2 linked regions of the Oryctolagus cuniculus genome follow. The protein of the gene in region 2 purifies or fractionates together with the protein of the main gene of each other region. This does not show direct contact. Links are inferred from orthologs where the notes say so. Each region holds a gene or a part of one and is shown on either strand. Other genes may lie near its edges.

The links.
Region 1: the proteins of TRIM33 (region 2) and SKIL purify together in Homo sapiens (affinity purification with western blotting; 4 studies listed by BioGRID and IntAct, with this or other methods). This does not show direct contact. The link is inferred for Oryctolagus cuniculus from reciprocal best matches to the Homo sapiens genes TRIM33 and SKIL.

The regions. Positions count from the first base shown.
Region 1 is NC_091435.1:109,896,188-109,900,986, reverse strand, and holds part of SKIL (ski-like protein), read left to right. Parts: intron 1-1,211; coding exon 1,212-1,453; intron 1,454-1,747; coding exon 1,748-1,972; intron 1,973-2,649; coding exon 2,650-2,808; 3' UTR 2,809-4,799. UniProt on the Homo sapiens protein: May have regulatory role in cell division or differentiation in response to extracellular signals.
Region 2 is NC_091438.1:55,851,405-55,856,793, reverse strand, and holds the start of TRIM33 (E3 ubiquitin-protein ligase TRIM33), read right to left. Parts: upstream 3,327-5,389; 5' UTR 3,212-3,326; coding exon 2,686-3,211; intron 1-2,685. UniProt on the Homo sapiens protein: Acts as an E3 ubiquitin-protein ligase. Promotes SMAD4 ubiquitination, nuclear exclusion and degradation via the ubiquitin proteasome pathway. According to PubMed:16751102, does not promote a decrease in the level of endogenous SMAD4.

The DNA.
Region 1 (4,799 bases), on a different chromosome or scaffold from region 2:
CAGGATAAGCACTTGGCTCCTGCCTTCAGATCAGCGCAGTGCACTGGCTGCAGCGCGCCGGCCATGACGGCCATTGGAGGGTGAACCAACGGCAAAGGAAGACCTTTCTCTCTCTCTCTCTCTCTCACTGTCCACTCTGCCTGTCAAAAAAAAAAAAAAAAAAAAAAAAAAAAAAACAACGAATCTTAATAGATAATGGGACTAGGAATGGGAGAGGAAGGAGGAGGAGGAGTGGGAGTAGGGGTGGGAAGGATGGGTATGGTTGGTAGAATCACTATATTCCTAAAGTTGTACTTAGGAAATTTACATCCATTAAATAAAAGGTTTCTCTGGGAGGGGAAAACAAAAAAACAATTGTGGGTTTACTTGGTTCTGGACTCTGAATTCTTTCTCACTGATCTATGTATCTTTCCTTATGTGAGTACTACACAATGGACTTGATATCTGTAGCAAGCTTTAACATTGGAAATTATTAATTCTTTTTCAGGATTTTTTGTCTATTTTGGAGTCTTTGTATTTCCATATGAATTTTAGAATCAGCTTATCAATTTCTGCCAGAAAACCAGCTGGGATTTTAATGGAGATTGCACTGAACATATGGATCAATTTGGGGAATATTATTATCTTAAAAATACTTAGTCTTCTGGGGGCCGGCACTGTGGCTTACTTGGTTAATCCTCCTCCTGTGGCACTGGCATCCCATATGGGTGCCGGGTTCTAGTCCCAGTTGTTCCTCTTCCAGTCCAGCTCTCTGCTGTGGCCCGGGAGTGCAGTGGAGGATGGCCCAAGTGCTTGGGCCCCTGCACCCGCATGGGAGACCAGGAGGAAGCACCTGGCTCCTGGTTTCAGATTGGCGTAGTGCTGGCCGTAGCGGCCATTTGGGGAGTGAACCAACGTAAGGAAGACCTTTCTCTCTGTCTCTCCTTCTCACTGTCTATAACTCTACCTGTCAAATAGAAAAAAAATACTTAGTCTTCCAATCTGTTAACATGGACTGTCTTTTTATGTATTCACATCTTTCTTTGATGTTTTGTTGTTGCTATTGTACATGTTTAACTACTTTTGTTAAACTTATTCCTAAGTATTTTATTCTTGTTGATTTAATTTTTGAATGGAATTGTCTTGTTAATAGCATTCCTGGATTCTTCCAGTGACTTTTTAACACAGTGATATTTATTCTTTGTTACTTGATTTTTTTTTCCCTCTCAAAGATCCATCAATCTTACATAGTTCTGTGAGTAAAAAGAAATCTGACTCTACCACTTGCCACTTAGTCAGAGACACAAACAAGTTGGGAATTGGCCATGATACTGCAGAATCATCTCCACTCCTTGTCAAAGATGTCGTTTGTGAAGATGATAAAGGAAAAATCATGGAGGAAGTAATGAGGACTTATGTAAAACAACAGGAAAAACTGAACTCAATTTTGCAAAAGAAGCAACAACTTCAGATGGTAAAGTTGTTATTTAAATGATAATTCATTATGAAAAGATACTTTTGCACATTCTCAGAGGAGTCAAGATATGTTGCAAATATATGTTAGATTGTTCAGTTTCACACTGATAGGCAATTTTAATACATTTATAGAGAAGATATTTTTCAATATAACTGTTGATATATAGAACTAATACGAATTTTATATATTTTCTGACTTATTTTTTCCTGAACTAAAAGTTTTTTTGTTTTTTTTTTTTTGAAATTTTTAACCTGATGGAAATAAAATTGTATTGTGATTCTGTACTTACAGGAAGTGGAAATGTTGAGTAGTTCAAAAGCTATGAGGGAACTCACTGAAGAACAACAGAATCTGCAGAAAGAACTTGAATCTTTGCAGACTGAACATGCTCAAAGAATGGAAGAATTTTATGTTGAACAGAAGGACTTAGAGAAAAAATTAGAGCAGGTAATGAAGCAAAAATGTACATGTGACTCAAATTTGGAAAAAGACAAAGAGGCTGAATATGCAGCACAGGTAAGAATTACTCAGTTTGTATAATGTGCCCTTTCAACATGAATGGAAAGTGTTACTGCTCTGTTAAAGAAATTACTTTTTGTCAAGCTCATTCACTAGGCTAGATTTCAATGTAGATAATTCTGTTAAACACAATTTTATGCTAGATTGTCTATGATGATTTTTTGACTTTTATTGGTTTATTACTTTAAAGTTTATTGGATTTCTATAATTTATTTACTTAAATTGTAAATCTAGCTCTCTGATGATCAAATATTATTTTAATAATATATGCTTTCAAATCAACATATTAACAAATAACTGTTGCCTACTCTATTCAAAAGCACTGAAGCAAAAATAAATAAGTAAATCCTTTATGTTAATAGTTGCTCACATTTGAGGGAAGATGTACAAATATTAGCTTGAACAGGTTGTAACAAGGATCTAGTAATGCACAGAAAATAATTAAAGTGCTGTAGGTGTTTTAGGTGTTTATTCCTCTTGATCCTTTGCTTTACCTTCAATTTAATGTCATGTTGAATGTCAAGGTAATAGTATTAGATACTTAAAAGACTGTGGTATGCATGAAATAGTTTGTTTTGTAAAACATAATGTGAAAGTAGGTCTTTGCTGTGGTATAAGATTAAATGGAAAAACAAAACTAAATGAATATTGACACAGCCTTTTAAATCACACAGCTAGCAGAACTGAGACAGAGACTGGACCACGCTGAAGCTGATAGGCAAGAACTCCAAGATGAACTCAGACAGGAGCGGGAGGCAAGACAGAAGTTAGAGATGATGATAAAAGAGTTAAAGCTGCAAATTTTGAAGTCATCCAAGGCTGCTAAAGAATAGGAACTGTTAAAGAGATCATCTGTGTATACTGACAGGGTTTTTTTGTTTATTGCTTGCTTTGGTAATAGAATTCTGAACAACTTATCCGCATGACAATAGCTAGGCATTCTACCCATTTGTAGATCAAAGAAAGTGAAGAGATTATATATTAGTACATAAATTTTTACATTTTCCAAATGAATGAAAATGTAGGTTTCTTTGTATTTTTTTTTCAGCTTAGTAACAATATAGGATTTCAAGTAGTAGATAACCTGCCTATATTTCTAATGTGAATTTAACAGTTGTATACTTTTTAAAAGCTGCATTATGTGATGGGAAATAGCTGTGGTCAATTTTGTTATCCATATTTCAGACTCAATTTTAGATATAATGGTGGCATTATATTTCAAATATATACTATAGAACTATTCAAGGAGTTGAATCTGCATTTTTCTTATTAACACAATCTCCTTTATAAGTGATATATATACTCATTATTATACACAGACATTAGCTTTTACTTTGTTCAGATTGTGGAATGAATTTCTTCAATCCTCAGTTCTCTTTTAAATGTCTCCTAAGAGGAATTTCATTAATGAAGGAATAGCATAACCCATGGGTGTCATTGGAAAGAGTAAGATGTTTTGTTACGCATTGCTGCTAAATGTAAGAAGCAGTTGTAATTTGTTTTTCAGGTTTAATGTGGTTATATTTAGAAATTTTTTACGCTGTATCTTCAGAAAAATAATGATTTCTGAACTTTTGTTTATGTTGTTAATAGTGGTGTGAAAATAATAATGTTGAGAAGAATTGGTGTCATTGATGTACATCAGTTTCTATAGAATCCACAGTCCTTCTGTACAGGTTTTGTATGTAGCTATGGGTTGGAATGAAATTTATATAATGGATTTGTTTTCCTTTAAATTGTAAAATATTAAACATATTGAAGGTTATTTTGGACTTTTGTATGTTAAATGTTAAGTCTTACCAAAAATTTGCACGAATGGACCATTTTCAATTACTACTTAATATCAAAATCAGGAATTTACAGTCAACTGATAGTGTATGATAGCTTTGTATAGGAGTTTAATTATCTGCTACTAAAATTTTTAGATAATTTTTAGTTTACAAAAGAATTCCATAGTTTGGGAAGAGGCAACATCTTCTGTACTTTTTTTTTTTTGCACAGAAAAGTCTGTCACTCTTTAAAAGCAAATTTCCTGTTAATTCTTGGCTTAAAAGATAATAGAAAAAAAATTGTTAGTATGCAGTTTTTTAAAGGAAAGTTTCCTGAAACCACCAGTAGTTGACATTATTAACCCCATGAATTTTGTTTTTCATGCTTTCTGACAAGGTTCTGTATGAAATTATTACAAGTGAACTAGAATGAAAGTTGTGTGCTATGTCCATTGTAGAAGGCAGGTACTCTAATGTTGGTAGAACTTAAAAAAAAAAAAAAATCACATAGCTTATCATTAACCAGTTATTTTCAGATTGTTCTTAATGGTACTCATATATCCCAAAAGAATTTCTATAGTTCCTAAAAGGGAACTTTACTAAACAGAGTATGATCTAAATGTGTATTTTCTACTTTTCATTTCAATTTTTACTATATTTACCCTGTAATTTAATTTATTGATTCTTGGAATCTCAAGATGGAACAAATGTTGAAAATGCATATCTCCCTAATATAATTTATTTAGACCTTGCAAAAAAATTACACTTATGATACACTTTTATTTTAGTTGTAAATTAGTTGTGTAGTAACTCATATTTTTGGAAGGCAAAATCAAGTACCTATAGTTTCATTTAGTTTTCTAATTCACTTATGTTACTTATTAAATGATAAGTTCTGCTTATGTTACTTATTAAATGATAAGCTTTCTTATCATTTATGTTACTTATTAAATGATAAGTTTACTTGTGTCAATCCAAAACTTCTAAAATAACTTGCTTAGCCTTTGAAATACATTATAAAATTCTAAGCAGTGTCTAAATACTTTTGAATTATT
Region 2 (5,389 bases):
GGGTCAGCCACAGTGTGTTAGGAGAGACAGAAAAACACCATGTAGAAAAAACAGTACCATACTCATCACTGATTCAGAGCCACCAGAGAAATAGTGAATTAATCCACCAGCTTTGGTTCTTCAGATCACAGATTATTATTCAATAATACCTTCAATAATGCATTTTTGAAGCATTTCACAGTTACAAACAAAGCATTTTCACATTCATTTTTAATTTGACTTAGTAAGTGATTGTGAATAACTACTAGCTACATCTGAGAGACAAAGTTAGGGAAACAGTATGAGCCTCTGTTAAACAATTAGGTGGCAAAACTACGACCACTAACTCCATCCAACCCAGAGTTCTTTCCACAGAGCTTGCTCTCCTTTTTTCAAGAGCAAAGCAAAGGATACACACAGGAGTTCATACTGACAAATTATTTTCTAGACTTCCTACCTAAAAACATGGTAGTTTCCAGATTGTTTTAGATACTGGCTAGAAATCAACATCACTTAAGAACAACAGTATTTAGTCCTTTCCACTTACTTCTTCTCCCAGCTCAAAAACAAAGGTGGAGAAATGAAGAGAACGTATGGGACTATATTCTCTCATACATAAATTTCAGAAAGCCAATTTCATAACCTCAGTTCCTCAACCAACACAATTTGCATCTTGAGTTCCCTCTAAATTGCTCACCTAATCCAGGTTCCCACAAGGACACTGAATCCCACGTGTCTTATTATGCTCATGGGACCACGACCAGCTATCCTCTCTACACCTATTACCACTTAGTGTCTCCTCCATTAAACACAGATCTTTTTTCTTAACATTCTTATCTGCATGTCCCAATAACAGCTCAAACCCAGAAGTGAAGGTATTATATCCTCTCTCCACTACAGACACCTGCTTCTGTGCCTGAATTCTTTGCTTGCACTAACAGCACTGTCAGCAAACAAGAAACCTAGAACTCGGTCTACACACCAATCTCAGTTAGCCCCTCCATCTCCATTACTAACAATAAACTAGCAGCCATTTCACTAGTAACTACTGTATATGAGTCACTTTACATATCTTATTTCACTTCATTTTCTCAATAATCCCATGAGCAATATACTTTTTGTCCCTGTTCACAAATGAGAAAACTGAGGTGAAGAAAAGTTAATCTGTCCAAGTTCTAAGTAGAAAGTGGCGAAGAAGACACCTGAACTCATTTTGATGTCTCCCTGACATCAAAATGCTTCCTTCTGTAATGCCTGGCATCAGACCTCTCCTACCCAATCCAAATGACAATTTCCAATCTAGGTTGCTGCCAAGGTTCCCCTAACTGGCCTCCCTGCATTCTTTCATCTCTCAACGACTTCAGGTGATCTTTGTAGATCACAAATCTGACTTTACCCTTTGGATAGAGAAGTCCTTTGGGAACGCCTTGTACAGGAGACACTGCACAGGACACATCCCAACCCCTCAGTACTGTGCCAAATTTGCATACCTGCTTAGAAACTTCACTTCTGTCACATGTTTACAACAAAGTCCACCACGTTATTGTGATATTCGTGTGATTCAATGAAGAAACTTTCAAGTGCTCAATAATGAACTGTTATTCCAGAATCCCACCACTGCTGGAGTACTACATAAAAGACATAGTACATAAAAGACCTTACCAAGAAAAATTCCCAAATACTGTATTCTGAAGTCCAAAACACATCTTGTCCCAAGAGTTGCTGGAAAAGGATGTGGAACTCCTTATCCACGCAGCTGATCAATGCAATCTACTGTCCACCAGAGGTCTTGCACAAGGTGGACGCACCTTGTACCCTCGATCCCCTCCACCCAGTGAGGCAGGCAATCACCCTTCAGGAAACCTGCTCCAGGCCTTCCTTTCCTGGGAAGTTTCCCTGACTTTCCCTCCATTTCGCCACAGCCATGATAGTGAGCGCCCACCTCCACTGCTGCAGGCTACAGTTTCCCCTGTTAAGACTGGGAAGGGGGTCCTAAGCCAGCATCACATCCAGTCCCAGCAGCACCCAGAACGCTAGGGGTTCCTTAATGTACAATGAACTGAAACAAATGCATGCCCAGCTCTATCTGACCCTCAATCTCAGTCCAAGTTCATTTCTGCTCATCCCCAAACCTTACTCTTGTCCCTAACCATGCAGGTCCCTCACTGCTATTCTCATCTCCTGAGATGCTCCTTCCCAATGCCATCTTAAAATTCTTTTCCATCAAGAGCCTTCTCTTGGCTCCAAGTTTCCCAACGTCTTTTAGCCGCTTGCATTTAAACCGCAGTCCTCTTTGCTCCAAACCGGGCAACGGGCCACGTCCCCTCCCTCCAGTGCAATCCATCCTCACAGCCCTCCTCTCTTTACCTACTCCACCACCACCACCACCTCTCCCGGGCCGGGCGCCCGTCCACCCTGAACGCTGGCTCTGCTGTCCGGGTCCAGCTTGCACATCCCAAACCTCCTTCGCTGTGTCCCCTCCCCCCAACCCCGTCTCACAGCCGGCTCCCTCCCTTCATCCCCCTCCTTATCTCTCGCGGTCCAGCTTCTCTGGAAACTGTCCCAGGGGCCGTGTCTTTCACTTCGCCCACCCCTCAGGATCGCGCAGGTCCGGGCAGCCCCGAGCCCCAGCACTTCGGTCCCCAGATCCTCCTGGGCTCCGCAAATGCCCCGCGGCCCAGACGTCGGGCCGGGCCTCCGGCTCACCTTGCTGGATGTCGCCGTTGCTGCCCCCCGGGATGGGCACGCTGAGCTGGCGCTCCGGCTCCGGCAGGCAGCGCAGGCAGAAGGAGTGAAGACAGGGCAGCAGCTTGGGCTCCGCCTCACGCCGGCTCTGCAGGCTCTGCTGACACACGGCGCAGGTGTCCAGAAGCGAGGCTGGCGGTCCAAGAGGCGGCCCCGCCGAGGGACCCGGAGCAGGGGCTGAGGCTGGAGCTGGGGCCGGCGTCGATACGGTCCCCCCGGGAGCTCCAGAGCCCACTGAGGCTGCAGGAGCCGAGGCAGCCTGAGCCGAGCCCGAGGAGGCCGCGGCCACCCCCCCGTCGTCGGGCCCGGCCGCGCCGCCCTCCGCGCCGGCCCTGCTGCCTTCCTCCTCCTCCTCCTCCACCAGCACCGCGGCGAGAGGCGGCTCCGCCTCCTGCGCCGCGGGCCCGGCGGCCCCGGCAGTTACCGGCGCGCTGCCGCTGCCCCCGCCGCCGCTCTCAGCCTCGCCGCCGCCTTTGTTTTCCGCCATGTTTTCCTCTTTGAACCCGCCGGACCGCCCCGCGCCGCCCGCCGCCCGCGTCGCCGCCGCCGCCGCCCCCAGCCCCAGCCGCAGCGAGAACGGCCGCCGAGAGCGAGCAGGCGAGCGAACCAACGAGAGCGCGCGCGCACGCGGCGCCCCCGCCCTCGCGTCGCGCGGCTGAAGAGGGCGGGCGCGGCGCGCGCACGTACGCACGGACGTCCTCTGGAGGGAGGCGGGAACTCGGGGCGCGGGCGCGGGCGCGGAGTCGTCCGCGACGCTCGTCCAGACGTCTGGGGCTGGGGCGTTGCGTCAGTGCCGCGGACCTTTAGCGCAACAGGCGCTAGCCTTTAAAAGCCAGAGGCCGTGGCAACCTGTCGGCCTTTGGCGGATCGTGCTGCTGAGTTTGGCCTCAGCTGTGGTGCGGAACGAGGGGCGGACTAAGCTGGACGGGTCGGAGGCCGCGGCTGTGGCTGCCCCAGCGAGCGTCTCCTCCGAAGCTTCTGCAGCGTGATCGGACGCCAGGGCCTCGCGGTTCTTGGTGCTGTGCGAGGCACCTTCTGCTGTTTGTGGCTCAGGGGAGCAGTAAGCCGAGTCTTTGGTTTTTTTAACCGGAGGTCTACCAGAAATAGGCTGAAAAGACCCGGTGAGGAAGAGACTCACTGTGCGGCTAATTTCCACTACTTAGTGTGATTCCGGGACGTTGCTACGTAGCCGAAAACCGGTCACCTCAGGAGCTTTTTGAAAAGCCACACCTCAGCCCAGAGTCCGGAAGTGGGGCAGAGGGCTGATTCTGATGCGCCTCAGGTTGCGGAGCCAAGATCTCACCTCCAGTGTGGTGGCCTCTGAGAGTCCCACTTAGTGTCCTGGGTGAGCCCGGTGACAAATGCCCTCCAGGTAGAAGCTTTCAGAAAGGGTTGGCCTTTTATTTGGGAAACAAGTGTTTCTGCAGAGCAGTGGCTGTTTGGGCGTGAGACGCTTGCACTTCTTTGGTCTTTATCTCTTGAGCTGGTCTAAGTCCCTAAACCATGTGCAAGCCTTGTTTATTTACTCACTCCAGAAGACTCGCCTCTATTAGGTGTCAGTGTTTTAGATACCCTGCGATTACAGCAGAGAGCAAAAGAGGCTCTCCCTGCCTTTAAAAGAGTTCACGAGCTAATGGTGCAAGGTTTGGAATAAACGAGGGTACTTCAGAAAGCTCTTGAGAAATGTGTATTATGAGAAAACCATGTGTGGATTGGAAATTTTTTGCACTAAACTGTCGCAGTTTCATTTTCCATGAACTTAAATTTTAAGTACCCTGATAACATGCGAGGTAAATGCCAGGAAGAAAAAGCAACTGGAGCAAAATAGAGATTGAGGGAGGCCTGTTGATAAGATGAAGGAGTCTCTCTTGCAGAACAGTGTTCAAAGTAGAGGAACAAATAGTGCAAAGGGCATGAGGCAAACGTATCCTTAGCTTATCAGAACAGCAACGTATCAACTTGGATGGAGTGGCTTGAGCAGAGAGTAGTGAGAGATGAGGAAAATTATTAAAGGAGCTAGCTTTTGTTCTCTAAAAGAATTTTGGAAAACTATTTCCCATCAAGCATTGTAATTTGATTTTAAAAGAAGTTTAAATAATTGCAAAGGAATGGGCATGTAGCCTGGTGGTGAAGATACTGTTTAAGATACACAAAGCCCTCGTATCAGATAACTGGATTTGAGTCTCCTAACTCCAGCTTTCTGCTACTGCAGATGCTGGGAGGCAGTGGAGATAGCTCAGGTGATTGGGTTCCTGGCGCTTGGCTTTGACCCAGTGCAGTCCTGGATATTGCAGGCATTTGGGAAGTGAACCTTCAGGTGGGAACTTGCACATCCTTGCCTGCTGTCTCTCTCTCTCTTGCCTCTCAAATAGTTGCAAAGTGTCATCTCTGATATTTTAATTATTTCAGTTTATGATAATCTAATGGAAAGGCCGGCGCCGCGGCTCACTAGGCTAATCCTCCACCTAGCGGTGCCGGCACACCAGGTTCTAGTTCCGGTCGGGGCGCCGGATTCTGTCCCGGTGCTTCCAGGCCAGCTCTCTGCTATGGCCCTATGGCCCGGGAGTGCGGTGGAGGATGGCCCAAGTGCTTGGGCCCTGCACCCCATGGGAGACCAGGAGAAGAACCTGGCTCCTGCCTTCCGATCAGCGCGGTGCGCCGGCCG